Linked DNA regions of Oryctolagus cuniculus. The protein of the gene in region 2 interacts with the protein of the main gene of each other region in a pairwise test. Links are inferred from orthologs where the notes say so. Each region holds a gene or a part of one and is shown on either strand. Other genes may lie near its edges.

Region 1 (3,937 bases), on a different chromosome or scaffold from region 2:
TTTCTTAAATGTCTTTTTTTTTTTTTGACAGGCAGAGTTAGAAAGAGAGACAGAGAGAAAGGTCTTCCTTCCATTGGTTCACCCCCTAAATGGCTGCTACGGCCGGCACTGTGCTGATCCGAAGCCAGGAGCCAGGTGCTCCCTCCCAGTCTCCCATGTGGGTGCAGGGCCCAAGCACTTGGGCCATCCTCCACTGACTTCCCGGGCCACAGCAGAGAGCTGGCCTGGAAGAGGAGCAGCTGGGACAGAATCCAGAGCCCCAACCGGGACTAGAACCCAGGATGCCGGCGCCACAGAAGGAGAATTAGCCAAGTGAGCCATGGTGCCAGCCTCTTAAATGTATTTCATTCAAAGTTCAAACGAAAGGAGCAGGTCTCTAACTCTGAGGCTCCAGGCCTTACAGGCACAAGGAAAACAGACCCACACCCTCCTGTGCCCGCAGCTGTTTTACTGTAGAGAAAATGCTTACATCACCTTCCAATTAAAATCCATCCCACAGTGACCGAGTGGGGGCCTTCCACGTGCCAGGCACTGCTCGAGGCACAGTGTGCCTTCAGAGGCAGTACACTGGGAGGGAGCACAGCCGGAGGAGTGGCTGCACATAGGGCTCCTCTTCCTGCAGTCACGCCTCATGCCCAAGCCGCCTCCCCAGAACACTGGCCAAAGCTTCTCTCTTTGCTGCTTTGTTACCCACTTTCTTCCACCCCCTCCCCTCCCCAAAGGCTCACCATGCCCACCACTGTCACCTCTTCCACCAAGTCTTCTCTGCCATGCTGCTGCCACTCTCCCTTCTGAAGACCTGAAACACTGGGTTCCTGTCAGCCTAGACTCAGGTCGAAGTGTCCCAGCGTGCACTCTACCCTCGCCACACCACATTGCGTCCAGTTCCACAAACAAGCCATGTTCTTTACACATGCCTTTCCCACCACCCCAAAACCTCGCCCCTCGCTCTAAACCTGCCTTTGGCCTCACGATACTTTATTCTTTATGTATCCTGAACTATTTCTTTGGCGAGTGTCTGCTCTGAGAATGGCACCCAAAAAGGTATGGGCAATGCAGCTCTGAATGAAACGTCCAAGCCCCTGTTCTTGTGGAACTCCTGTATTCCAGTAGCAGAAGACACTAACTAAGCTAGCAAACTTAGCATGAGACAGCGATGAGAGCCACCGCCTCTCCTCCCTTTGCTGCATCCTCATCGTCCTGTCTCTACATGCTGAACTGCTCTATCCACACCCACTCCCTAGGTGGTCTCATCCCATAAGCAAGGTCTTAAGAAACTATATTTGCTTCAAAATAACGGCGGAAGGCAAGTAATACAGCTGAAACCAGATTAACCATAGTTGGCAATTACTGGAGCCAGGGATGAGGGCATGGGGCTCATTACGTAATTTTCCCTGTTTCTGTGAGCACTTGAAACTTCATTGAAAAAAGGGGAAATGAACAGAAATAAAGGAACATGTATGTGTAGAATAATACATACGCCACATTTTATCTACAACCCCAGCCCCTCTCCTGAACTACAAATTCACACAGTCAACAATTTGGCTAACTGCAATTTCTAATGCAGCTGTGCAAAACAAAACTCTTACTTTTATTTATTTTTAAAGATTTATTTATTTGAAAGGCAGAGTCAGAGAGAGAGAGAGAGAGATATCTTCCATCCTCTGATTCACTCCCCCAAATGGCCACAATGGCCAGGGTTGGGCCAGGCTGGAGCCAGGGGTCAGGAGCTTCTTCCGGGTCTCCCACATGAGTGCAGGGGCCTAAGCACTTGAGCCATCCTGTGCTGCGTTCCCAGGCCATTAGCAGGGAGCTGGATTGGAAGAGGAGCAACCGGGACTCCAACTGGCGTCCATGTGGGATGCCAGCACTGCAGGCGGCAGCTTTACCCACTATGCCACAGTACCGATCTCAGTAAATAAATCTTTTTTTTTTTTTTAATTCAGTGTCTGGCACAGAGAAGGTATTAGATGTTTACCAATACTTCTAGAACAAAATAAAACAGCAGTTAGGTAACGAGGGGAGGTCGCACAAAGGACCTGATGCCTGAGCTGGGACCTCAGCCCAGAGGAGCCCGAACTGCAGACTGAGGAGCGGAGACTTCCAGGGAGAGGAAACAGATTCTAAAATGTTAAAGGGCTTGATTTACTGGAAGGAGCAGTTAGAACAGTGGATGAGGGCAGAACTGTACAAACCACGACAGAAGGTTTGCAATGGAAAGTCACTGGAGTTTAAACAAAGGCGTCACAAGGTCTGATTCTGGATTCTCTTTCAAAGTAGAGCTGGCACGCTCCCCGGACGGTGCCATTTACAGGCTGAGGGCGGAACCGGTGAAGCCCGGGGGGGTGAAATCTCAGATGGCCACGGCCAAGGCAGCAGAGACGTTCGTACAGTGTGCACGTAAAGATGTATCCAATAACCATCGAGAGCGCGACCACAGGGCCCTCATCCGCTCCTCCTCAGACAACTCACAGAGGGGAGAGGTAAGAGGACGGCCGGCGCACACAGAGCCCCGCAGGCCCGCGTCAGGGCCCGCCCTCCCGTCCCCGGGCCCCGCTCGTGCGGCACCGCCTCGCACGCCGCCCGGCCCCTCCTCCCGCCCACCTTCCCCGAGGCCACAAAAGCCGGGCAGTGGCAGGGAGAGGGAGCGGAGCACGTACCCGCCGGTCCTGCTCCTTTCTTAGCTCCTTCTCCACCCGGTGCCTCCGCCGGGCAAAGGTCACCACGCACCGCCCTCGACCCTACAGACCCCGCCGCGTGGTGCGTAGGAAAGGCCTCTCGGGACGTCACCCCGCTCCGGAAGTCTTCGCGGCCGTGAGCGCAAGGGCCGCCGGGAAAACCACTGAGAGGCCTCCCGCGGGTGGCTGCTAGAGCGGCCTCCTTCAACCACCACGCCTCCGAGTCTGGCCCGCGGCCGCCGGGCTCTGGCTGGCTGACGCGGCGGCTTTTTCTGCTTGGCCCGGAAGGACCCAAAGCGGAAGGCGGGAGAAGGAAGCACCTGGCAGGCGGAGGAGGCTCGAGGGGGCGGTTGCGCGCCAACCAAACGCCCGAGAGGCTCTGGACGCCGGCTCCGCGGGGTCCACCCGGCGGCCTCGCCTCCGTGCGCTTCCGGGAGCCGTCTAGAGCGAGTGCGCCTGCGCGCCGGCCGGTCCGCGCGCCTCGCCGCTGTTCTCGCGCCGGCCGGCGGCCCGACGGTTCGTGCGGCGCTTCCCGCCCGGCGTCTCGGCTCAGGGCTCACTGGCCGGCGGCATGTCGCGGCGGCGGCACAGCGACGAGAACGACGGTGAGTGCGCCCGCGAGGTTTAGCGTCCCGGGTCTCGAGGGGAGGGACGGGAATCCCGCCTTCCCCGGCAGCGTTTGGGGGAGCCAAGGAGGGAGGCGCCGCGCGGGGCAGCCGGCCGGCTTCTGGAAAGCGAACGCGCCCCTTCCGCCCTTGCTCCCCGTTCCCTTTGTCGTGAGGAAGGGAGCCCGGGCGATCCCCGTGGGCAGAGGCGTCTGCTCTCCAGGGGCTGTAAAAAGTTTAGACCTGCGCCGCCTGCAGGGATCCTTGACAGAGCCCCAGGGGTCCTGGGGTTTGGCTTCAGCCCGCAAAGCTGCGCCTGGGCTGAGCTCTCGGAGGACTTGGCGCAAGGAAAGGAACAAAGGCGTGTTGTGAATTGCGTTCCGCACCCCCTGCCCCGTCCGCCCTCCCTGTGAAGGGGTAGGAAAAGAACTCGGGCTCCCGCACACCCACAGGGACACGTGGTGCTGCGTTGGGTAGACGATTAGAGTCCTAGCTGGAGAGCTCTCAGGCCCGGGTGCCCGCGTCCTTTCCCGACGGCTTGTGCTCAGGGAGACCACGCTGTTGCCATCATGCAAACGAAATGGTCTTGCTACTGCCAACAGGAAAAGATGTGTGGGTTAGACGCGAGCGTGACGGTCCGTCCGGAACACACAC
Region 2 (3,500 bases):
TCTCCTGGCTCCAGGTCATCTGGTGCCTTCCAAAAATTAGTGGGTGGGTTGACAACCATTTTCTTTCTTTTTGTTTTGTTTGATAGGCAGAAAGACAGAAGAGACAGAAATACAGACAGATCTATCTACTGGTTTATGTCCCAAGTGCCTGCAACAGCAGAGGCTGTTCCAGGCTGGAGCCACAAACTCCATGTGGGTCTCCCACATGGGTGTCGGGGACCCAAGTACTTGAGCCATCATCTGCTGCCTCCCAGGGTGTTCATTAGCAAGAAGTTAGACTTGGAAGTGGAACCAGGACTTGAACCCAGGCCCTCTGATACAGGATGTGGGCGTTCTGAGAGGCATCTTAGCTGTTGCATCAAATACCCGCTCTGTTGACAGCTGTTCTAACCTCGGTGTATGCTTCAGGTATCCCAGGTTAGGTACCTAGGAAGGGGATCTAGGACTAGAAGCTGTACGTACGTCCTGACTGAACAGTGCAGGGTAAGGAGGTAGAGGTGACAGGCTAGAGGTAAGGGCTGTGGTTCGGGTCGAGTTTAGGGATGTCGGTCTCGCTTCTAATCCAGCCCGCACCTGCCTGCTAACAGGGCGATTCTGGAGGCTCCAGTGACGGAGCCCAGGTTCCTAGAGCAGCTGCAGGAGTTGGATGCCAAGGCAGCCGCAGTCCGAGAGCAGGAGGCCAGGGGCACTGCAGCCTGTGCAGACGTCAGAGGCGTGCTTGACCGGCTCCGGGTCAAGGTAGGCGGAAGTGGGGGTGGAGACCCTGGAGACCCCTGGAGCTGGCCTTTCTAGAATCTTCCCTCTGGACTTCCCTGGCAGGTCTCATTGTAGCCTGTCTCCAGGAGCCTCACCCCTGCCTCCTCCTGGCAGGGCTCAGCCCTGTTCCCTGAGCTTCCCTGAAAATCTTAAGGAAAACTGGAGAGCTGCTCTCTACCCTTCCTCCTGCGCTTGCTCCCACATGTAGGCAGTGACGAAGATCCGAGAGTTCATCCTGCAGAAGATTTATTCCTTCAGAAAACCGATGACCAACTATCAGATCCCTCAGACGGCACTGCTGAAGTACAGGTCACCTTGCGAGGGAGGGGATGGTGCCCCAGGTGTTAGAACAGCGCACAGTGAGTGGCTTGTTTCTTGGCGGTCAGGAAGACTGACTTATCCTCGGCTCCTCCAGGTTCTTCTATCAGTTCCTGCTGGGTAACGAGCGAGCGACAGCGAAGGAGATCAGGGATGAATACGTGGAGACGCTGAGCAAGATCTACCTTTCTTACTACCGCTCTTACTTGGGGCGGCTCATGAAGGTGCAGGTGAGGCCAAGGACAGGCATTCCTGGGCCCGTGGAGCAGGGGACAACCCCGGGCAAGGAAGGAGTGGGATTTTCTGCTGTGCTGTAGGAAGAGACGGCCACCAGTTCTCTTTTCTCTTTTCCCTAGTATGAGGAAGTAGCTGAGAAGGATGACCTAATGGGCGTGGAAGATACAGCGAAGAAAGATATCCTGGAGCTGGGGACCCTCCAGCCAGGCCTTCAGGGTGGGGGACCCTAGTGCCACTCTCCAAGGGCCTGCTTCTTACCTCTCTCTGTCTCCAAGATCTACTTCTTGCCTTTTTCTGTCCCCAAAACTTGGGAGAATGCGGTGAAAGCTGTGGACCCTCTTCCCAGATAAAGGGACCCGCCATCTAGACACGGTTTGTCACGTGATCTCCTGGAGTATGGACTCCCTGGTGCCCATTCACAGATGTCAGGTGAAGTGGGGCCCTGTCATTAGAAAGAGCGATACGGAGGCTGTCGCTCTTTCTTGAGTGATAGTCCCGAGGTGCTAAGTCCCTGGGTCCAGTTGTGTTCTCATTGGTTCCCCTGACTCGGGCCGTTCCCACGATTCTTCTCGAAGCCGTCGCTCCGCAGCAGGAACACCATCTTCACCCTGGGGACCCGTGGCTCTGTCATCTCCCCCACTGAACTTGAGGCCCCCATCTTGGTGCCTCACACAGCCCAGCGGGGAGAGCAAAGGGTACGTGCGAAGAGGAAGAAGCTCTGTCGCTGTGGGACTCCGTGTGTGGGGCAGGAGGGAGAGATCGCTGGGCAGTTTCCCAGCTCGCAGGCTCCAGCATCAGTACCCTGAGCCCTGGGAGCGCCTTCTGCACTCACTGCAGCCTGCCGTGATGTGATGGGGTTGGCAACCACCGAAGGAAGGGCATGCCGAGGGGAGGGGAGGGGAGGGGGACTGGTGTTGCGGTAGGTGCAGGAGTGCAACCCTGGCTGGGGGATAGGCTCTTCCTCTCGGGGCCCTCATGCTCCCCAACTTTTTCAGTGCCTATTCAGGGTGCTCTTTTAGCCTGGACTGAGATGGGATGGGAAGGGTCTGCCGAGCTCTTGTTACCGGGGTTGCTGATTTGCCAGTCATATGCACGGAGGGGTCAGTGTGGGGGCCACCCCTTTGCCTCTCTTTACTCCTCCTCTAGTATCCATTCGAGGCCCTGTTCCGCAGCCAGCACTATGCCCTCCTGGACAATTCCTGCCGTGAATATCTTTTCATCTGTGAATTTTTTGTCGTGTCTGGCCCAGCTGCCCACGACCTATTCCACGCTGTCATGGGCCGTACACTCACCATGACCCTGGTAAGATCCTTGTGCTCAGTCCCAGTGCGCACCACAGCAGGGCCATAACTCCTGCAGTACTGCACTAGGACCTGCCTCCCCCATTCTAGAATGCCTGAGCCTCGAGCTCGCGGTGTGACTCCCCATGAAACCCTCAAAGCCTGAGGTCCACAGAGACTGCTCCTATTTCTGATCCACAAACCAGGCAGTAACTCCTGAAGACTGAGGGACCCCTAAACCTTGGCACTCCAGCTCAGCCCTGAGTTCCACTGGAATAGAGCCTGCTGGGCAGGGCTTGAGCAGCCAGTGCCCAGGGAAGGGGGGCATTTTCCTTCTAGATATCGTCCTTCCCTGCTACCTCATCCCCAAAGGAGCCCATGCACTTATCCGGAGGCACTGGGATGCCAGACTAACGCTCTTGCAATCTGCGTGTTCCCAAATCACAGAAACATCTGGAGTCCTATCTAGCTGACTGCTACGATGCCATTGCTGTTTTCCTCTGTATCCACATCGTTCTCCGATTCCGCAACATCGCAGCGAAGAGGGATGTTCCTGCCCTGGACAGGTCACTGAGTTCTGGTCCTTGATGCCCTGCAGGCCTTGCATTCTTGGTCTTAACGCGACTCTACCCTCATCCCGGGCCCCTGCTGACCTGACACCTTTGGCCCTTCCTCCCTGTCACCTGTTCAGAGGCCAGCTCACCCTTCACACACCCCTGCCCCTCGGTCAGCCGTCAGCCAGTAACCTCAGGTCGGCCGCCGCCGCTCCCCATTCCTTGCCAGCTGACCTCCGATTCTGATTGAGCCCACAGGTACTGGGAGCAGGTGCTCGCCCTTCTGTGGCCGCGGTTTGAGATGATCCTGGAGATGAACGTCCAGAGCGTCCGAAGCACTGACCCTCAGCGCCTG
Region 3 (4,081 bases), on a different chromosome or scaffold from region 2:
AATTTTTAAAAAAGAAGCCTGGCATTTCCCCTCCACATTTACAGTTCAGCACTAGCATCAGTTCTTGGCACCAGGAATCACGCACCGCCAAACTGTGGCCTCCTGGGTCTCAGAGGGGTTCCATGGGGGAGTCCCGGGCAACACTAACGGGCCAGCACTTTTGGATCGCTTGAATCTAAACACATGTGGGAGTACCTTGTTCCAGGTTAGTGACACTCAGACTGAAGGGTCCACGCTGACATCTGTTTAGCATTTCAACTGTGCATTACAGTATGACATACACTACAGCATTGTACTCCTGTGGTTAGTGGCTTCCCAACAACACAGGGCTGGACCCGACTCAGGTCTATGGGAAGTGGAACACTGCTCTAACGTGCTCATGAGCAGGTGGCTCCCGCACACTAACAGTGCATTCACGGCACTGGCTCTTTATGTCTCATTTAGAAAATACTAAATTCACAATTAGTAAATAGTGAAAGCTTGTTTTTTTGAAAGTGCATGAAATAAGAACATTAATGGCCGAAGCCTGAGCATCAGGATTTTAACCAGTTCCTGGGTGAGGCTTGCAACTTCCAAGATCCCTGTGCAGAGTGAGGCAGGGCAAGCAAAGGTGGGCTGTATTCTATCAGCTGTTACCACTTCACACAAGGAAAATGAAAGCAAGGTCTTCCCATGCTTTCTTAGTAATTCACAACCTCCCCATGGTTCCCTCATTAAGACTTTTCAGCCTTATCTAGTGCTGCTTACCCAGGTCAAAGAAAAAAAAAATGGGGGAGGGGTGGACAAATAAGCACTTGCATATAAACAACTGCAAAGATACAACCACAAATTGCTTGGAACACATTTTCCGTAGGATACTTTTGGGGGGCTGCCTTGCTGCCTGCACAAGCATCCCATTTGGGTGGCGGTTCGAGACCCGGCTGCTCCACTTCCAGCTCTCTGCTAATGTATCTAGAAAAAAGCGGGAGGTGGCTCAAGTGCTTGGGCCCCTGCACCCACATGGGAGACCCAGATGAAACTCCTGGCTCCTGGCTTCAGCATGGCCCGGCACTGGGTGTTGTGGCCATTTGGGGAGCTGAACCAGCGGATGGAGGATTTCTCCCTCTCCCTCTGTAATTCTGCCTTTTCAAATAAGCAGAGAGATAATGTTTTAAAGCCATTTCTGACTGCAGTTCTCCATGGGAAGAAGAGCAGCGCATGGCCACCCCTCACAGGAGACCCGGCAGCTCTGGCAACGCTGGTCTTGACAAACCCAGCAGGTTTCCTGGAAGATTTCCGAGGCCTTCTAAGAACAGCGGCCATGCTACAGTGTCACCAAGAACAGGGCAGTGCCAGTCACAAGAATCGCTAAAGCGGCCCCACTGCACCTCGACCTTGGAGCAGAAACCTTTGCAAGCTTACCACCTGTCTTAGGAGGGAGCTGGAAACCTCCCACCAGGCCCTCTCTCCTCGCCCTGCTTGAAATGCCTTTTCCACAGGTCTGGGCACCTGCCAGGTGACCGTCTGACTGCCCAGTGCGGGCCAGCTCTCATCCTAACAAACAGGCACATTTCTTCAGGGCTCCTGCCTGGCCTGGACTCACTCAGCAGCACCCCAACCGGATTCACACGGGACTCCCCGCCAAGAAGGCAAACTCCACCCGGCCAGAGCCGCCTCTGCTGTGTCTCCAGGAGCTCACAGCCTTCCAAGCCTGACGCCTGCTCCCCTAATGCCCTGCACACGTTATCTGTTGCCGGGAAGGAGCGGCAGGCCAGGACAGATGGTGACAGGCGGATCTGGCTTGAGGGATACATTTTCTTTTGAATTTGAGCCTCTCCCTGGGGCTGTAAAACTCCAAATCAAAGTCTTAATCTGAGACTGTACACATTTGAAAGAGTCCGGGTTGATAAACATTTACTCAACACTAATAAAAGGTACAAGTTGTTGATCCTGACTATGCAGGACAGAAAAAAAAATTTTTTTTTTTTTAACAAGGCGCCGATTCCAAGGCGTTTACGATCTTAAAAGAATAGACGAGCCCCCTTGTAACTAGCCAAATGCAACCTAGAGAGGCTATAAATAAAGCAAGAGTTATCTGGGAGGAAGAGATAGATTAATCTATTGCTAACTCCTCCTTTAATCCCACGGCAAAGACAGTAAATCCAAATCCGAAAAGGTCAAAACTGGAACATCCCGAGGAGCTCGCTGAAATCCAGAAGTCGCCCCCTTCGCAGGGGCTAACGTCACAGCCGCAGGCGAATCTCAAGCTACCCAGAGAGGAAAAACACTCAGGGTACCAGCGCGGAGGAAACTTGGAAAAGCAGATCACGTAAACAGGCCGTTCACAGCCTCGCGTTCCCACCCAGAGACCCCCGAGCCCCCCGCCCGCGGCCCCAACGCTCGCGCTCCCCGCAGATCCCGGGCCCGAGCCCCCGACGCCCCCCGAGACCTCTCCCCGAGCGCAGGTTCGGGTCCCCACGCCGCAGAGACCCGAGCCCGCTCGTCCCCCGGGCCTCCTACCGTAGGTTTCGGACATGGCCGTCTGCGACATCTTGGGAGCGGCACGGCCTCTGGCCGGGTCACGGCTGCAGCTGGGGTGAGCGGCGGGAAGGGAGGGCCGGGAGGTCTGTGTGCCGCGCGTCCAGACGGCGAGGGGCGTGGAGCGGGGTGGGTGGGGAACCCGAGGAGGGAGGGGCCGGACCGGTCCCCAAGGCAACCGCCCACCCGCACCGCCGCGGCCCTATAGGACTCCGGCTCCGCGCAGGCGCACGGCCCTCGGCCCTCGGCCCTCCTCCGGCCCGGGCCTGGAGCTGGAGGAGGAGGAGCAGGAGGAGGAGGAGAAGGAGGAGCCAGGCCCCCCCTCCCGCGGCCGCGCGTGCGCATGGGGAGGCCGGGCGAGGCGCACAGGCGCGCGCGGGCGCACAGGGCGCGCGCCAATACGCACAGCTTCCATCCACTGGTTCACTCCCCCGATGTCCACAAGGGCGGTGGCTGAGCTGAGGCCAAGAGGGGAGCCAGGATCCCAATTCGGGTCTCCATGTGGGTGGCAGGAACTCAGTAACTGGAGCCATCTCCACTACCCCCCCCCGGGGGGGGGCACATTAGCAGGAATCTGGAGTCAGAAGCTACCGCTTCGTATGGAACCTGCCTACTTTGATAGTGTTAGGAAACTGGCACAGTTTTAGCCAGGTGGCCACATGGCCCAGCTACCTGAGCCAGGCTCCACCCCCATCCTAATGGGATTCGCTGCTCCTGCTTCCCTGCCCGCCCTCAGGCAAAGTTTTAAAAGGGCCTGTTCCTGAACACGTGCTCTCTTGGGCTCTGCTCCCTGCTCTCTTGGCCCTTCTCTCTTGCTCTCTCTCGGTTCCTCTCTCTAGCCTCCTCCTCTGGTCTCTTGGCTCTTGGTTCTTCTCTCTTGGCTCTGCTCTATCTTCTCTCCTTGCTAGCTCCTCTCCTCTCTGTTTCTCTCTTATATTCTCTTTCTCTCTTTTTCCTTCGCAGCCCCTTCACTCCGGTCTGTAGGGTGTTCTCCAGTAAACCCTTTCCCTTACTCCGGTGTCCGGTGTGCTTTGCGACGGCTAACATTAATATATAACAAGTGGAACAAAGGTGATGTGGAAGGGAAATAAACTGAAAGATAAGGAGCTGAAACATTTTTTTTTTAGACATTTTCAGAGGCGTTGTAGGCCTTCAGAATTCTGCAGTTTCAAGCCACTCTATCTCCAGCTGAGTATAAACACTGCTTTTCAAATGATTGATGTTTTTCCTTAGCAAAGACCCACCCAAGTCTGGTTGCAGCTGGGCGGGGGAGGTGGGAGGTTCTGCGCGTGCGCGGCGGCCCCGCCCACTGGCGCATGGCGGCGGTTGCTCGGCGACCGTCATCCGGAGCTGAGGAGTTGGAGACCGCGGACCTGCCTTGCGGGGACGTGGTGGCCAGACGGCTCGTTTTCTCGGATTTTGGGCTCCGGAGGTGGCGGAAAGCCGCCGTCCGCTTCAGAAATGAAGCGATTTCTTTCCTACTCAGCCATGAGGCGCCAGGTGCTCCAGACGTCCTCCGACGGGCGCGGGAACGGGCTGGAGGTTCGACCCCAGTTCCGTGGCA
Region 4 (4,144 bases), on a different chromosome or scaffold from region 2:
TTCTCACATACACAGAGCTGTTTATTTTTAAAGTCTTCCTGAATCAGAGCACTTAGAGGAGGTTATGAACCTTTCCCGTATTGACAGCTTTAGATTATGATCAACCGTATCACATAGTTCATATAGGGAGACTTATTTGTTTGCAAAACATTAGGAGGATGAACAAGGCAATCTCTTAAAAACGAAACCGTATCTTCATTACTGCCCATCACCGCGCATCTCCCTAAATCCAAAATAAGACTATGTGCTAACTGCTCCCCTCTTAAACTGAAACCTGCACTGCAGCTTTATGTCTCAGAGAGGAAATATTCCTCCTACCCCTTCCCAATTTAGATGTGCAGGTTATAGTTCTACGTTAAGAAAAAAAAAAAAAAAAAAAGACAAAACGTAGACTATCTGGGAGGAGCCCCTGGTGGAATTAATTACAGCACTTCCCAGATCGTAGTTAGCAATTGACAGTTTCACACCCAAAACAGTACCGTCATCTCCAACGAGAGCTTTTGTTTGCAAATGCAGCGCAGTTTCTCCAAGCTCTGGCTGCAAGTTGGAGTGACTGGGTTTTATTCCGAAGAGAGGGAGCGGGGGATCGCGGAAAAGGAGTCAAGCCAGTGTCGGGAGCCCCGCAACTGTATGGCACTCATTTCTTCCCCTGCCTCCCCCCAGTCTCACACTTCGAGTCAGCTCCTTCAGACCACAAAAACAAAACGGTTGGGTCCCCGCAATCCTATCTGCGCAACAAGGGCCAAAACTCAGCTCCGCGGCAGCAAACAATAGGGACTGCTCCAATAAAGGGCCCGAAGAGACCCCTACAACCTAGGACGCCCCTCCTTCCCTCCGCGACCCGGGGGCTCCACCAACACCCTCTGTTTATCGACCTACAAGGCCTACTGCAATCAGGCAGCAGCCGGTCCTCCTCCAGCCGGAGCCCTCCAACACGGCAGATCCGTGCCGCCCCCTGTAGGGCTGCCTCGTACCCCATAACCTCCAACATCATCTCCCCCCCAGCCCTTACCGCCCCCTCGGGTCCCCACAGCCCCTCGTCTTCCACAAAACTCCTCGGAGCACTCGGCCCGCTCCTCCTCCTGACCCCGCCGCGCACTGCATTCCCATATTCGACTCCTCTGAGGCGCCCCCACCCCACACAGCTGCCGCCCGCCCTTCCTCCCCCAGGCCCGGCCAGGCCTTGGGCCTCCGCCCGGAGCGAACCCCTCGCCGGCCCGAGGGGCTCCCTGAAGCCCCCACGGCACCGCCGACCTCGACCCCGCCGCCTCACCCCCGCGCCCCGCGGCTCTGGCCCGAGTCCTACCACCGAGGCCACTCCCGCTCGGCACCCTCGGTCCTTTATTGTTGACTCGAAGCTCCCAAAATGGCGGCGGCTCCTTCCTCCTCGGAAACCTCCGCCCGCCCCCACCCGGCCCCTCGCTGTGGCCGCCCCCGCCCCCGCCCCCGCCGCACTCCCGGGGCCGCGCCGCCGGCAGCCCGCGCCGCCGGCTGCCGGGCCGCCCAGCCTACCTCCGCCGCTGCCCGCTCTCTCGGCGCCGCCGAAGTCGCCGCCGAGCTGAGCTAACTCGGCTGTCTGCCCCCTCCCTCGCCCGCCCGCCGCCGCCTCCCTCCCTCCCTCTTTCCCTGCCTCTCCGCATGGCGGCGGCCGCGGCTCCTCCTCCACTCAAGATGGCGAGAGCTCGGCTGTCGCGGCCGCCTGGCTTCCCTTCTTCCCTTCTTGACGGCGAGGGGAAGCCCGGCCGGAGAAGCTCCCTGAGGAGGGGGGAAGGAAAAAAAAAAAAAAAGCGGGCCGTTCTCTCACACCGACGGGTGGAAAGCTGCAGGGGGAAGCCCGGCTGCTGTCTGAGGGGACAGGAAGGCCGAGGAGAGATGCTCGGGGAATGGTGGCTGAGGAGAGTCGCCGGCCTTCACGCCTCCTGCGTGAAAACCCGGGGTTGTGACCAGAGGCGGATCTGCTTGTTACTGCCCCAAGACCGGTCCCCAGCACTGCCGGGCCGGAGGCGGGAGGCTGACCTGGCACCCCCGCGGGCCGGGGGCCGCGTCCGAGCCCCTCGCGCCGCGTCTCCGCCCGGGAGCGCGCGGAACCAGAGGCCCCCACGCGCCCGCCGACGCGCGCCCGGGGGCGGGAGGGGGGCGGCCTGGGACCCGCGGTGGGGAGGGCCCCGGGGCGCGCGGAGGGCGGGCAGGGGGGGTGTAGGGACCGCGCCGGGCGGAGACCGTGCGCCTGGGAGGGGGAGCTGCGGAGAGCACGCGGGGTCTGGGAGGCGACCCCGCCGTTAGGGCGCAGGGCTGGGCGGCGCGACCCCCCTCTACTGCCGAGATCCTCCAGGGAGGGGCCGAGCCTCCCCCCAGAGGGGAACAGCACTGAGTCGTCTCGGTGGAAGCCGGGCAGTCGGTAAAGATCTGGGCGCCCGCAGGCGGAGAGTTTTTTCTCCCGCCCGCCCCTCACTTGTAAAGATTTTTAGGCATTTCTCCTCATGATTACTTCTCAGACCCTAGCGTCTCCGTTTATCCCCAACAGAATAACAGAAATGCTGTGGTGTCTCAAGTAAGAAAAAAAAAATTTGGCTAGGCCGAGGGAAAGTAAAATCCTAGGTCGCACCCGGCTGGGAAGCGGAATATACAAACGGACAATGGCCAAAGCGTATGTGACAATAGGACTCCGACCCACCTCCGCAGCAGCGAGCCCAGAACGGTCAGCACTTGCTCACTGACTGGCAGCTTCCATGTTTTTTTGCCGCTGTGCCGCTGTCCCCAACTCGGAGCCAATCAGAGAAAGCCAAATATGCCGCCGCAACCAATCACGTCCGAGGCCCTGCTTCTCGCTCGCCCTCCTCCCGCTTCCCGGTGCCAGCACGCGCCAATCGCGGCCGACCTGACGCCTTCCCCGTTTTTCACCATGAAGCTTTCCTACTCCCCCGCCTGCCTGGTCCCCACCACTCCGAGGGGTCGTGGCTGCGGATCCTACGGCACGCTCTGAACGCAAAGCCTGGTCTCGTTTGGCGGTCTGGAAAGGCTGTCGAGAGCAGTGAAAAGACTACCCTTGACGTTAAAAAAAAAGTCCCCTTATTTTTTTTTTAAATTCTAGGTTTAGAGCATGCCATCTCCCACCCAGATTTTAAAACACCTAGTCGTGAAGAGAGAAACCCTGCACCCTATTCCATCCTGTAGAGAAGACGGCTGGGTGATACCGTGTGAGATCCTCTTTGCCTCACTCTCTTCCCACGTATCAGGTGTGTGAAGGGTTGGGAAAGGGGCTTCAGGATTTACACCAGGTCCCTTCCCCCACACTGCTCAAGGAAAGGGTCCACAAATAAACTGTAGCCTGGATGAGGTCACGACAAAAATGGGCAATATGAAATGACCACCCATCTCACCTAGGAGTCCTTCTGAGGCGAAAACCTTTCGAAATTCTGTATAATGATCTTTTAAGATGGGTAAATACTCTCACATTGTTGGCCCTTTTCAGTTTTCTGATGGGATACGTAGATGGTTTAAAATTAAGCTAGGAACCCTGGATCTTTTATTCTAGATTCAGCTTTAGTGGTTGATAGGTCAAACCATTTCAAACCATTTTGTCCTTGCTGTTTTCAAACAGATTAGCAAGAATTGTGAAATATGACACTTTAGGAAAAAAGATTATTTGGGGCTGCACAGACTATCATTTATAAAATGTATTTTTAGGGGGTTGGAGAGAGGATAGCTAATGGGTCCAGGGGTGCAGTTGGGCAGGATAACTCTGATTGGCAAGAATTAATTGAATATTTCAAAATAGCCACCTAGCTGCTTTCTCTCTAGGGTGAACACGAGGAACAGAGTTCCCCCCTTCTGTGTGACGAGGTATTTTAAAATCTGGGAGATGGTATGCTAGAAACAGAATTTGAAGAGGATTTTGAATGTTCCTAGCACAAGAAAAGTATGTGAGTCTGAGGTGATAGGTATGCCTGATCATTACATGTTGTACATATGTACATATGTATTGAAAATGTCACACTGGACTCTTAAATTATGATAATTTGTTGGTTTGAAAAATTATTTTTTAAGAAGAATGTAATATAAATCAAATCCTTTGGTCTTTTAGTTAACATGGAGTGGAATAATTGTGAGTACTCTGTAGCAAATACGGTTTCTGGAGGATGTG
Region 5 (4,291 bases), on a different chromosome or scaffold from region 2:
TCGAGCATTTATCCAACGGTCATCGCAAAGCTCACTGACTTGGCAGCAAACAGTAAGTTCAGGACTCGGGACTAATCTGGTTAACACTAGGGAGCTGCAACAGTGGCAGAGCACTGGGAGGGTTTTGATGTGCTCTTTGAGATGGCTCTCAAGTTTGTTGTTTATTTTTGCCATAAGTGCACTTTGGAAGAAAAATAGCAAGCATCTGCAAAAACCTGAGAAACCCTGTGAATCATAAAAGTAGAGTTGGAGCAAAAAACCCAAGATTGGATGGAAGAGGCAAAAGCCAAACCACGTAGGCTCTTCAGATTCCAGGTGCAAAGAGTACTGGGTTTTATTCCAACGTCTATAAGCAGCGGTGATAAAGAATTGTGACCTCGGGGCTGGTGCCTGCAGTGCCGCCATCCCACATGGGCGCCAGTTCAAGACCTCCTAGCTGCTCCATTTCCAATCCAGCTCTCTGCTATGGCCTGGGAAGGCACTGGAGGATGGCCCAAGTCCTTGGCCCCCGCACCCAGTGGGAGACCTGGAAGAAGCTCCTAGCACCTGGCTCCTGGCTTCGGATCGGCGCAGCTCTGGCGGTTGCGGCCAATTGGGGAGTGACCCAGCGGATGGAAGACCTCTCTCTCTCTCTGCCTCTCCTCTCTGTGTAACTCTGCCTTTCAAATAAATAAATAAATCTTTTTAAAAAATTGTGATCCCACCTTTGGAGAAAAATCTGGCCTTTTCAGTTTTAGCCCTAGTACCACAAGGACTTTGTACAAAATGGGACGAAGAAGTTTCAGGAATGGGCCTGAGGTCAAACACCCCTGCAGGGACCCCTCTGCCCCTTCCTGCGGGACTGCCGAGCTTATTGGGGGGGGGGGGGGGTAACTACCTTTCACAAGTTACCCGGGCTCTTGGAGAACGCCTGCAATGGTGATTATTTCTTCTGAGTAAAAGGCAGGGTAGCGGAGTAGTCAGGTTCTGAACCACTGCTCGAACCCAGCATCTGTGACCGTGGGCGAGCTGTCTAACGCGAGCCTTACAGCCCTCTTCCGTTAAATGGGAATGACAAATAGTACTTATCTCCAGCAGCTAGGAGGCCAGGGCTTTTAAGAGACCAGGGAAGCACACGGGGTGTGCTCAGAGAACCGCTACGGTCACTGAAAGCCTGCGTCAGAATAAGGAAATCGAGGCAGGGAGAGAAAAGAACGTCCAGTCGCGTGGCACCTAGGGATGAAGTCGGACCTGGAACACAGGCCTGCCTCCCAGCCCAGGCCTCTCCGGAGTCCCCGGACTGACGGAGTGTGGACCGAGGCACGCGGGCGCAGTGAGGCTGGGCCGCACAGGGCTTCTGCACGACACCGGCGAGGTTGACGTGGAGGTTTGCTCAGAACCACCGGCTCCCCAGCCCTCCGGAGTCCGCGGCTCTGAGGACGAGAGCATCCTGGGAGTTGTGTCGACCGATGCATGGTGGGACGTGTAGTCCGCTCCTGTCCCCGCCCTCCCGATGCACCCGCCTTGGAGGCCGCCTTCGCTCCCGGCTCCCGGCAAGCTCCGCGCCAGCGCCGGCTACTAATTGGCTGTGGCTCGGACAGGCGGCTCTGCCGGCAGCGGTTACCCAGGGTTTCCGGTGCGAGGCCAGCGCTGGGGACGCGGTCGCACGTCGCCCGTGAGGTGAGCCCAGCGGCGGGACGACGGACGGTGAGGGCCTGCAGACCTGGACACTTTCGGCCAGCGGGGAAATTGCTCCGATTTCTGCGCGTGGGCGGCGGCGGGGGTGGGGGGAGTCGGGGTGACGCTGTGCGCATGCGCGCGACTGGAGGGCGCGCGGGGCGTGGGTGGCTGCGTGCGCGCGGGCGCGGGAGCCCACGTGGGACCTGGGGCGCGGGGGGAGGGGTCGGAGTCGAGCGTCCCGCCACGTCAGTCTGCGGCCGGGAGCCAATCCCGCGCCGGGCCTGCCGTGAGGGGCCGTGTGGGGCCGGGAAGTGGCTTCGGGGGGAACAAGGAGGCCTCTCTCCTCACCCGCTCCAGGAGCAGCGCCCCGGAAACCCGCCGGGGTGCGCCAGGCCCCCTGACCGGCCGGACAGCGGGAGAACCGTTGGCTCCCTCCGTTGAAGGTGCGCCTGGGCTGTGATTTCTGATCCAGGCTGCGAAGAATTCTGTGGAAAATAGCAACTGTGTTTCTCAAGGATCCAATCCCAACCTAAGGTGGCAGCGCACAATGAAGAATCAAGACAAAAAGAACGGGGCTGCCAAACAGCCCAACCCCAAAAGCAGCCCGGGACAGCCGGAAGCAGGAGCGGAGGGAGCCCAGGGGCGGCCCGGCCGGCCGGCCCCCGCCCGAGAAGCCGAAGGTGCCAGCAGCCAGGCTCCCGGGAGGCCGGAGGGTGTGTGCCAGCTCTGCGTTTCCAGCCGCCTGGGGGAGGAGTTCGCGGCCCGGCCCAGGGAGGAGGCAGCGGGGATGTGGAGCATCCCAGGCTCTGGGGAGGGGAGGCCCTTGCAGGCTTCTCGCAGGTGGCCGGCACCTGAGGCCTCAGCCAGTGACGCCGGGTTCCATCCGAAGGACCTCGGTCACCAGTGTGGGTCACTGCCCTTGGTTCGTTGTCGAGGCATTTCTGGAGCTGCTTGCATAGCAAGCGGGGGCTTTTAGAGGGAGGGGAATGGACGAAACATTGAGTTGCCTGCCTCCTGCGACATGGCAGTCCCAGGTGCCGTACGTACTTATTTTATGCTTGAACAAACTGTATTGGGGAGGTTGCGAGAATTAAGTAAGCTGGGGCAACCTTAAACCTGAACCAGTGAGGCTGGCTGGGCTCACGATCCCAGGTGGTGGTCTAACCTTGCCGTCTGTCGCTGCCTCTCGTCCTCTCCTGCCCTAGGGGCTCAAGCCAAAACTGCTCAGCCTGGGGCGCTCTGTGATGTCTCTGAGGAGCTGAGCCGCCAGTTGGAAGACATACTCAGTACATACTGTGTGGACAACAACCAGGGGGCCCCGGGTGAGGATGGGGTCCAGGGTGAGCCCCCTGAACCTGAAGATGCAGAGAAGTCTCGCGCCTATGTGGCAAGGAATGGGGAGCCGGAGCCGGGCACCCCAGTAGTCAATGGCGAGAAGGAGACCTCCAAGGCAGAGCCGGGCACGGAAGAGATCCGGACGAGCGATGAGGTCGGAGACCGAGACCACCGGAGGCCACAGGAAAAGAAGAAGGCCAAGGGTCTGGGTGAGCAGAGGGCAGCTGCGGGGGGCTGTGGGGAGGGCTTTGCACCTGACATTCCTTGGGCTGTGCAGCAGGGAGTCTCCCTGGTTGATTCAAAGCGCAGGGTATTCCAGCCACAGGCCGGAGTCGTTCAGGTTGGGAGCAAGTGAAATGGAGCCTGATCCTCATGGACAAAGCGGAGAGGTTTGGATGGGCTCTGTACCTGCCCACACCGCTTCGTCCCTGCTGTGTGACCTTGGGCATGTCCTTTCCCCGCCCTGGGCAATAGTTTCCAGTTCTCTACAAGGAGAGGATTGGGCTAGGCCAAAGTTGCAAACGCAAACGTCTGTGTAAGCCAGGACCGAGGGAGGGCCTGCTTTCTGCCCAGGGTGGACTGCAGCCTTGTTCCTTGAGTGCTCTGCACTGTGCCTGCTGCCAGCTCGTCAGTTGAGAGCGTGTTGAACCTCAGACTGGGTGCAGCTGGAATTTTATTTTCTGTTAAGAAAAGCCAGAAATCAAGAGTCTGGTGAAATCTGTAGATTTCAGTAGTAGAAACCAAACAAAACCCATGCATGAGCCGGGTTTGGCCTGTGTGCCAGTGATTGGCATCTCTGTGCTGGTGTCTTCGGGCCTCCGCAGGCTGAGCAGCCTGGAGCCTGGTCAGCAGCCCCTGGGGAAAGGCCCCCCACTGGGCACAGGCAGTGGGGAAGTGGCAGAGACGGTTTTTTGACAGCAGAGTTCGTGTCTGTTAAGAATCTGGGTTAGATGACATTGGACTTGTGTCCTAGTCCCTGTCTCGCCGCCCTTCCCCCGCCCCCAGCACTTGTCACCCTAATTGAAAGAGGAACTTTTTTAAAGAATCATGGGAACACACATTGAAGGTCTCTTCATTATAAGGTTCCCTGTTTGGATGCCTCGTACACAGGGCTATAGATTTCTCACGGAGGCCAGGAGACCTTTTCGGATCCTGCTTCTCTGGGAAGGCCCCACTTTGCATTGAAACAGTAGCCCTGAATTTGCAGGTGGGATACCTTTTATCTGCTGGGAGGCAGACAAGCTTTTCTCCCACCAGTGGTGCCCCCCCCCCCCCGAAGGAATTCCAAGAGGTTTTG
Region 6 (3,412 bases), on a different chromosome or scaffold from region 2:
TGTGGCATGTCCCATCAGCACACATTCTGTTCCCGGATTGGTTGTATTGTGCCCATCCTCTGAGTGGCTAAAGCTCTACTCACTTATCAGAAAGGGGCCAATCAGAGAGTCACTCTCTGTATAAAAGAACCAGCAGTGGCCACTCCTCTCTTGGAGTTCCTCTCCTGACTGCTGCAGCTCATTTCTTTGAATAGATTTTGCTTTGCTCACTGTCCCTGTCCACAAAGAAATTCTTCGACGTAAGACAAGAAACGAGGTCGTCTTTATCGTCCTGCAACACAATCAGGAGCCAGAGCTGGCACTCAGACCCAGGTACTCAGATGTGGGGCGCGAGTGTCCTAAATGGGCCTTAACTGCCAGGCCAAGCGCCTGTCCCTAAATTTCTTGCAGTTCCATTTTCCCACAGGTTTTTTGAACCGCCCTCATATGTGGCCATTAATATGCCAGGAGCCCTTCCTGGGTTTAAACCCCTCCCGAATCAAGCTTCTGTCATATTCACCTTATTTCTCAAAGCTATCATTTATTCTGTACAAGGTTCCACTGTACAGAGACATTCTGCTCTTGCTTACATAGTAAACAAGGTACACCAGCCCTCGGGCTCAGGTTCCCAGGTCTTCCCTGGAGAGGGTCAGGCCAGTTAAACTCAGGGCGTCTTTCTCAGGTGCCTCCTCCTGGGATGCCCCCGGCAGCAAGGGACACAGGCTGGGCCCAGCAGCGGGCCTGTGCCAGGCGCTCGGACCTCTACACTCGGTGCGGAACCGCTTTGTTCTCTGGGACAGCACAGAGTTCCACCCAGGACCGCAGGGCAACATCAAGCCCCCGGGGGAAGAATCCCAGTCAGCCAGGCTCCAGCCCCCAGGCAGAGGAGCTAAGGGGCAGCGTGGGCGTCCCTGAGAAACTCGTCCATAGGGCCTCTGTCTAGGAGGCTCTGAGAAGGGCGGGTGCAGGAGGCGGGAGGGAGGGGCATGGACATCACTGAGAATAAATTAAAAGGCGAGAGCAGCTTAAGGGACAGGGGTTTGTGCTATCCTCCAAAGAGCTGGGGAGTAGACGCGGGCTGGGCCGGAGGGTGTGGGCAGGAAAACCTTGATGCACTATCACAGGAAACCTCCCTCCACCCGCTTCCTCCTTGTCACCCCGCAATGCACAGCAACGTCAGGGGCAGAGGGCACGACCCCTCTGCACGGGCGGGTCTAAGCGTGGCGCTGGGGAGGATGAAGAGGAGGAGGGAGCTCTCAGGGAGGGGCGGTCATCTCCTGGTCCCCAAATGCTATAAGGCACAATTCTTGGAGGCAACTACATTCCATCCAGAACATTAAAAAAAAAAGAGAGAAAAAAGAAAAAAACCAACAACAATGACCAAAACTTGTTTAGATCCCAAGTCTACCGTGGCTATGCTTGGGGCCTGGCCAACACCAACCTAGCACCACGGGGGCTAGTATTAGAGAAGTTGTACTTTAAGAATTAAAAAAAAAAAAAAAAAAAAAAAAAAGGCGGGCCAGTACAGCACCCCAGTGGGGCAGGTGTAAAGGAGACATCTCCAGGCTGAAACATCAGTTAGGGTCATTAAAAAAAAAGCTGGACTTTAAAAAAACTAAAAACTGCTTTTCTGAAAGACGTTTCCTCGTCTGTCCCCCTGGAGTTAGCAGCGTTAAGAGGGCTCTTGGCTCATTCACGGGTGTTTTCTGCTCTGGACCAGTGCGCAGGTCCGGGCCGAGAGGGGCGCAGGGCTTGTCCGTTCCAGGCAGCAATGCTCCCAGCGGGCTCCAGAGGGCGCTGTCTTCTCAGAGGCGCGGGGGCTGGAGAGGGCAGCAGGTGGCCAGCGATCTTCTCCCCACACAGGGCGTTGCTTATCACACACAGGACAAAAACCACAAGCTTAAAAAATACAAACAAGAGAAGCCGAGGGAGCGCTGTGTCCAGTCCATCTTCCCCGCCGGGCCACGGCTCAGGAGCACCCGGCTCCTTGCTCCAGACCCCGGCCAGGCTGCGTCGACTCCTGTTCGGCAGTTTATTGTAGTTTTTTTCTCTTATTTGTCAAGTTTGTTTTTTTGTTGTTTGCTTTTGTTTTGTTTTGTTTTTTTTTTTGTCTTTTTAAAAAACTTAGGGTGTGGGCCGCCACAGGGAAGGGAGAGGGACGCAGCTCCCCGCTGCTACATACGGGAAGGTGGACTGGCCAACTCGTAGAAGAGCAGATAGGCGTCGCTGGTGCGCACTTGGCTGGAGGACATGGCTGTGACACTGCAGAGAGAGCAAGGCTCTGTCAGGGGCCCGGCAGGGGAGGCCCAGAGCCGAGGGGCTGGGGGCGTGCGAGGCACCCCCTCCAGCCTCTCTCCCCTGCTCCCAGGCACCGGACTCAGGGCTGCTCCAGAGCTTCTGGGCTCAGAAGTTTTGGGTCCACTCAAAGTGGAGGCCAAGCCGATAAGCGAGGTGTGGGTGCCGGAGCTGGGAGCCCCGCCCACACGGGACCGCTCTCACCTGGAGTCGTTGAAAGTGTGCCACTCGCCCGTCGCGGGACTCCGGCAGTAGGCGGTGTAATGGCCGCCCATGGTGGTTCCGGAGTGATTGGACACAGCGTACAGGTTGTAAACAGCGTGGTCTGAGGAGGACACGCAGGGTGTCAAGCCCCAGGGCCGTTCCTCGGCCCCACCCAGCCCCCTCCCGGCCTCCTGTGCTCTGAGTTACTCACTGGTGTTTTCTGAGGCAAATTCTCGCAAGTCCAGGTCTCTCAGTGGGAAGTTCACAAATGTTGTGAGCTTGCTGGTTCGTATCCTGGATTCTGAGAACCGCTTCAGATCTGGTGTTGCCTCGAGTCAAGGGCAGACAGCCAAGCGAGGACGGCCCAGAAAGCAGAGCAGGTGCGAAATGGGCAACGGCCCCCTCTGCGGGGAGCAGACGGCCTGGCTTCTCCCTGCTCTCCGCCCTGCGCACTGGCCCGGAGTCACTCGTCTCCCGCCAGGGTCAAGCCCCACCCTGATGCATCTAAGGATACGGAGCACCAAGATCTTTGGGAACCTCTGGATGGAGAACTTCTTTATACACCGTTTTCTGGCCCGGCAGCGACAGCATGTCTGAAAGACAAGACAGACCACGCTGGAAGGAACCTGTGGGAGGAGTCAACAGCCCAAACCCAGGGCTGGCACTGTGGCGCAGGGCGTCAAGCCACGGCCTGCGACCAGCATCCCATATTGGAACACGGGTTCTCGTTCTGGCTGCTCCACTTCCCATCCAACTCCCTACCAATGTGCCTGGGAAGGCAGGAGGTGGTGGCTCAAGTACCTGGGCCCTTGCCACCCATGTGGGAGACCCAGATGGAGTTCCTGGCTCCTAGCTTTGGCCTGGCCCCAGCCCTGGCTGCTGTGGGCATTTGGGCAGTGAACCAGCTGATGGAAGATGTGTCTCTCCCTCTTCT
Region 7 (3,979 bases), about 3.5 Mb from region 2:
TTCTTGGCTTTTTGGCTAAGATCAAGTGAAGAGTCAAAAGATATATTGGGGGCCGGCACTATGTTGTGGCAGGTAAAGCCGCTGTCTGCAGTGCTGGCATCCCATATGGACGTTGGTTCAAGTCCCGACTGCTCCACTTGCAATCCAGCTCTCTGTTGTGGCCTGGGAAGGCAGTAGAAGATGGCCCACGTTTTTGGGCCCCTGCACCCAAGTGGGAGACCTGGAAGAAGCTCCTGGCTTAAGATAGTGCAGCTCCGGCAGTTGTGGCCAACTGAGGGAGGGAACCAGAGGATGGAGAACCTCTCTCTCTCTCTGCCTCTCCTTCTCTCTATGTGTAACTCTGACTTTCAAATAAATACATAAATCTTAAAAAAAAAAAGTTATATTGAGAAAATGCTCTAACATTTTCCTTTCATCAAGGCACCTTTCCATCTACAAGATGCCTGGGTAGTTTTCTCCCATAATCAGGAGCTCCTGGGGCCTCGCAGATAAAGGCACACAGCTGAACCATATTTCTCTTCAACAATCAAAGTACTAAAAGCTAGTATGAATTGTGCCAGTATTTTATGGTTAGAACAAAGAATGAAGACTTGAACTAGGGCTGGGGTAAGGGATCTGAGCAATATTCTTTTCAACAATTACTTGCTCTAGAAACAGCAATACTGAGCAACTATAATGTGTTAAATAAACGGTCCTAGGTTCTTTACAAATAGGGTATTTTATTAGTAATCCCAGGAACCCTGAGGGAAGTATTTTTATTTCTCATTTCACAGATAAGGAAACAGAGGCCTGGATGTCAATCATTTGTCTTTGACACACAGGTAAGAGAGTTCAAATAATGAGCCAAGGCTTTTTAAACCCTAAGGTTCTCTCCTCTTCCCTTCTGTATTCTTCAAAATGGAAGAGTCAGACACTTGAAGAAATGAAGACTCCTCTCCCAGAGCCCAAGTGCTTGGGCCCCTGCGCCCACGTGGCAGACCTGGAAGAAGCTCCAGGCTCCTGGCTTCAGATCAGCTCAGCTCCAAGTTGTTGCGGCCATTTGGGGAGTGAACCAGTGGATGGAAGACCTCTCTCTCTGTCTCTCCCTCTTTCGGTCTGTAACTCTACCTCTCAAATAAATAAATGAATAAAATCTTTCTTTAAAAAAAAAAAAAAAGACTCCTCTTCCTATCTCACATAGTGCTTTAGAAAAGTTGACTGTTTCAGTATTAAACAGAAGCCAGTGAACAGCAACCAGTGTCAGAAGGCACAAAGGACCATGCCATGTCCCTCATCTCCTGCACTGCTTCCTGTTGGAACAGTTTTCCTGCTGAGTCTCATTATAACCTTAGGACATCAAAATTTAATGATCTCATGATGGAAAACCCCAGAGAACAGCATTTAGCATAACTGGAGAGTTCACTAGATCAGGAAGGAAAAGAAATCAGGTGGCAGGAAGCGATGCTTATCTAAAGACACACAACATCTTTAACACGATATTAACAGTCATTCCAGTGTAATTTCCATGTTAATCTGAGGCTGTCTTTGCATTGCCTTCTATTAATATGTATTACTAAAAGCTGATCCCCACTCCATTTCCCATATGTTTAATAGGATCCTAAATAAGGTAAGACTGCCAAGACACTACGGACTGTTCATTTCTCTTTGCTTTAGAGGAAAATACTCAGTCATAAGTTCAAAGAATTACCAATTATCCCAGAAAGAAAAGAACTGAATCAATTAGGAAAGGTGGCAGGGGAGGGCACAGCCAAACGTGAATTTCATCACCAACTGGACTGTGGCTGGCAGAAATCTTAAATTCACAATTGAAACACACTTTCCTCCTTAGACTTCTAAGGACTCAGCCCAAAACAACCCAAACTGTCAACTAACGGCAGATTGGGGGATGGACAACTGCTAAAAAGTCTCAACACATGCCAAAATGGAAAAAAAAAAAAATCGCTTAGAAGGTCTGCCCTCCACGAAACCACTGAAGAATGAAAGAATTCAGTGTGTGTGCACAAGAAGACCATTACAATGCAGGGGGTGGGGGGAAGAGGTCACTTGGAGTTGGACAAATCCCTAGAAAATGCTAGAGAAAAACACCGACTCTGTGGTCTCCCTGTAAGAAATCCTTGACGGGAAAGGGTCAACTCAAGATAAAGTGGGGTCAGGCTGCAGAACTGCTCTCACTTTTCCTGGACCCCCACCCCCCGCCCCGACCCCTTTCCTCGCAGGCGGCCCCAAGCTCCCACCAGAACCCTTTGGGAGAAGATTTGCACCTGAGGAGCTGGGGGAGCCAAGGAAGGGGCCACCCTCGAGTAAGCAACCACCTGTGCATGCTGGAGACCCCCGAGGAGTTCTCTTCAAAGTGGGAAGTGGCTCTGGGAATGGCCCCCCAAGCCCCGGGGGCGACACGGGGTTCTCCCTCAACTCCTCTGCCCCCTGTGCCCGGTCGTCGGCCACCCCCCAGCTGAGGTCACCTCTCCTGAGACCTCCGCCCTCAGACCCCGGTCTGTACCTCACACCCAGCCGTCCCCGCTCCTCTGCCTGACAGCCGCCCTGCCGCTACCAGGCAGCCCTGACTGCTCGGTCCTGGGGTCCCCACATCAGTCGCAAGATTTAGGGATTAGGATTTGGAAGGGTTTGGTCCAATCCCGGCTCCCTCTCAGCGTCCTGGGCTCACCTCCCCGGCAGCTTGGCGCTCCTCTTCCAAAACTGCTTGCTGTTCTCGGCGGCCATTGCTCTGGCCCGGGGAAGGCCTTGTAGGTGGGTCAGGGGGTGCCCGACGAGACGCCCCCGAGACCCCGCAATCTGAGGGCCAACCCAGGCCGCTTCCCCGTCGCCGGTCACCCGCTCCCAGCTCCTGGGGGCGCCATCTTGGATGTGGGCACCCGCCCACCCAGCGCAGCTGCCATTGGTGGGCTGCGCCAGCCGTGAACAGACGGGCCAATCGGGAGCCGGAATCCTGTAGGATGCTGAAGCCGAACGGTAACGTCAGGGGCTGGGCACCCAGGTGGGCCGGGAAGGCGGAGCTTGAGCGAGCCGGGAGGCGGGGCAGAAAGTTCCTACCCACGAGAGGGAAGAAGCAGGTAAAGAAAGCGACCCACGGGAAGGAGGCACGGGGGCTGTTTTCTTCTGGGGAAATGAGATCCCGGAGTCTGCTATTATTTGTAAGGAGGGCCATAGTGTGTATTTATAAACATAAATCTTTGACCTTGTTGGTTGTGACCCATTTTTAACGACACCCAACTCAGTGACACTTCGGTGATAGCCACCCCTTCCTCGTTCCGGTTCCGTTTAGGTCCGGAGTTTTTTTTTTTTTTTTTCTCCCTATGAAGGACTCAGTTAACCCACGCTCCCTAACTGTTCAACATGTGACAGTGGGTTCAGGAGTCTCCCTCCTCTGTTGACTGAATACTTTTAAAGGATTTGTGCTGTGAATGAAACGCCAAGGATCGAATCCTGTTTTAATCCGTAACTCTCACTTTCTGACAGTGAAAGCCTAGATACTGACTGACAGACGTGTTTAGGGAATGTGGTTGCGTCCATCCAATCCACATGACCAAGTACCCCATTTCTTTAGAGCATATCGTGTATCTCCATGATGTGAATCACCAAGATGCGGGTGTACCCCCACACACTTATCCTTAATTTCCCTTCTTAATCTATTGTAAATCTTTCACCCTTGAATTTGTTCTCAATCTAATTTTGTCTCAGAATGAAATTTAATATTAGCATTTTAAACTCTTTGAAATGTTTTGTCTGCGCTTTGTGCTTTTTTTTTTTTTAAGATTTGTTTATTTATTTGAAAGGCAGAGTTACAGAGAGAAGAGAGAGAGATCTTGATATCTTCCATCCACTGGGTGTCACTTCCCAAATGGCCAAAATGGTCGGAGCTGGGCTGATCTGAAGGCAGGAGCCAGGAGCTTCTTCCTGGTCTCCCGTGCGGGTACAGGAACCCAAGCACTTGGGCCATCTTCCACTGCTTTACAAGGTG

Evidence for each region.
Region 1: the proteins of VPS52 (region 2) and TSTD2 interact in binary tests that used the Homo sapiens proteins (3 or more experiments, as listed by UniProt). The two-hybrid records come from large-scale screens. The link is inferred for Oryctolagus cuniculus from reciprocal best matches to the Homo sapiens genes VPS52 and TSTD2.
Region 3: the proteins of VPS52 (region 2) and RAB4A interact in binary tests that used the Homo sapiens proteins (3 or more experiments, as listed by UniProt). The two-hybrid records come from large-scale screens. The link is inferred for Oryctolagus cuniculus from reciprocal best matches to the Homo sapiens genes VPS52 and RAB4A.
Region 4: the proteins of VPS52 (region 2) and DDX6 interact in binary tests that used the Homo sapiens proteins (3 or more experiments, as listed by UniProt). The two-hybrid records come from large-scale screens. The link is inferred for Oryctolagus cuniculus from reciprocal best matches to the Homo sapiens genes VPS52 and DDX6.
Region 5: the proteins of VPS52 (region 2) and TXLNA interact in binary tests that used the Homo sapiens proteins (3 or more experiments, as listed by UniProt). The two-hybrid records come from large-scale screens. The link is inferred for Oryctolagus cuniculus from reciprocal best matches to the Homo sapiens genes VPS52 and TXLNA.
Region 6: the proteins of VPS52 (region 2) and USP2 interact in binary tests that used the Homo sapiens proteins (3 or more experiments, as listed by UniProt). The two-hybrid records come from large-scale screens. The link is inferred for Oryctolagus cuniculus from reciprocal best matches to the Homo sapiens genes VPS52 and USP2.
Region 7: the proteins of VPS52 (region 2) and TBC1D22B interact in binary tests that used the Homo sapiens proteins (3 or more experiments, as listed by UniProt). The link is inferred for Oryctolagus cuniculus from reciprocal best matches to the Homo sapiens genes VPS52 and TBC1D22B.

Annotation. Positions count from the first base shown.
Region 1 is NC_091432.1:201,428,560-201,432,496, forward strand, and holds the start of TSTD2 (thiosulfate sulfurtransferase/rhodanese-like domain-containing protein 2), read right to left. Parts: upstream 2,801-3,937; 5' UTR 2,661-2,800; intron 1-2,660. Other genes in the region: NCBP1 (nuclear cap-binding protein subunit 1), read left to right, coding at 3,250-3,283.
Region 2 is NC_091436.1:135,856,866-135,860,365, forward strand, and holds part of VPS52 (vacuolar protein sorting-associated protein 52 homolog), read left to right. Parts: intron 1-587; coding exon 588-738; intron 739-964; coding exon 965-1,065; intron 1,066-1,171; coding exon 1,172-1,304; intron 1,305-1,430; coding exon 1,431-1,488; intron 1,489-1,872; coding exon 1,873-2,006; intron 2,007-2,457; coding exon 2,458-2,613; intron 2,614-3,038; coding exon 3,039-3,157; intron 3,158-3,403; coding exon 3,404-3,500. UniProt on the Homo sapiens protein: Acts as a component of the GARP complex that is involved in retrograde transport from early and late endosomes to the trans-Golgi network (TGN).
Region 3 is NC_091444.1:90,047,273-90,051,353, reverse strand, and holds the start of RAB4A (ras-related protein Rab-4A), read right to left. Parts: upstream 2,801-4,081; 5' UTR 2,531-2,800; coding exon 2,500-2,530; intron 1-2,499. UniProt on the Homo sapiens protein: The small GTPases Rab are key regulators of intracellular membrane trafficking, from the formation of transport vesicles to their fusion with membranes.
Region 4 is NC_091432.1:111,456,391-111,460,534, reverse strand, and holds the start of DDX6 (probable ATP-dependent RNA helicase DDX6), read right to left. Parts: upstream 2,801-4,144; 5' UTR 2,675-2,800; intron 2,103-2,674; exon of another isoform or gene 1,631-2,102; intron 1,612-1,630; exon of another isoform or gene 1,513-1,611; intron 1,435-1,512; exon of another isoform or gene 1,013-1,434; intron 1-1,012.
Region 5 is NC_091438.1:140,273,197-140,277,487, reverse strand, and holds the start of TXLNA (alpha-taxilin), read left to right. Parts: upstream 1-1,491; 5' UTR 1,492-1,659; exon of another isoform or gene 1,660-1,686; intron 1,687-1,801; exon of another isoform or gene 1,802-2,016; 5' UTR 2,017-2,206; coding exon 2,207-2,372; intron 2,373-2,864; coding exon 2,865-3,203; intron 3,204-4,291. UniProt on the Homo sapiens protein: May be involved in intracellular vesicle traffic and potentially in calcium-dependent exocytosis in neuroendocrine cells.
Region 6 is NC_091432.1:110,963,372-110,966,783, reverse strand, and holds the end of USP2 (ubiquitin carboxyl-terminal hydrolase 2), read right to left. Parts: intron 3,072-3,412; coding exon 2,993-3,071; intron 2,798-2,992; coding exon 2,690-2,797; intron 2,600-2,689; coding exon 2,479-2,599; intron 2,242-2,478; coding exon 2,154-2,241; 3' UTR 501-2,153; downstream 1-500. UniProt on the Homo sapiens protein: Hydrolase that deubiquitinates polyubiquitinated target proteins such as MDM2, MDM4 and CCND1. Isoform 1 and isoform 4 possess both ubiquitin-specific peptidase and isopeptidase activities.
Region 7 is NC_091436.1:132,390,660-132,394,638, forward strand, and holds the start of TBC1D22B (TBC1 domain family member 22B), read right to left. Parts: upstream 2,801-3,979; 5' UTR 2,722-2,800; coding exon 2,666-2,721; intron 1-2,665. UniProt on the Homo sapiens protein: May act as a GTPase-activating protein for Rab family protein(s).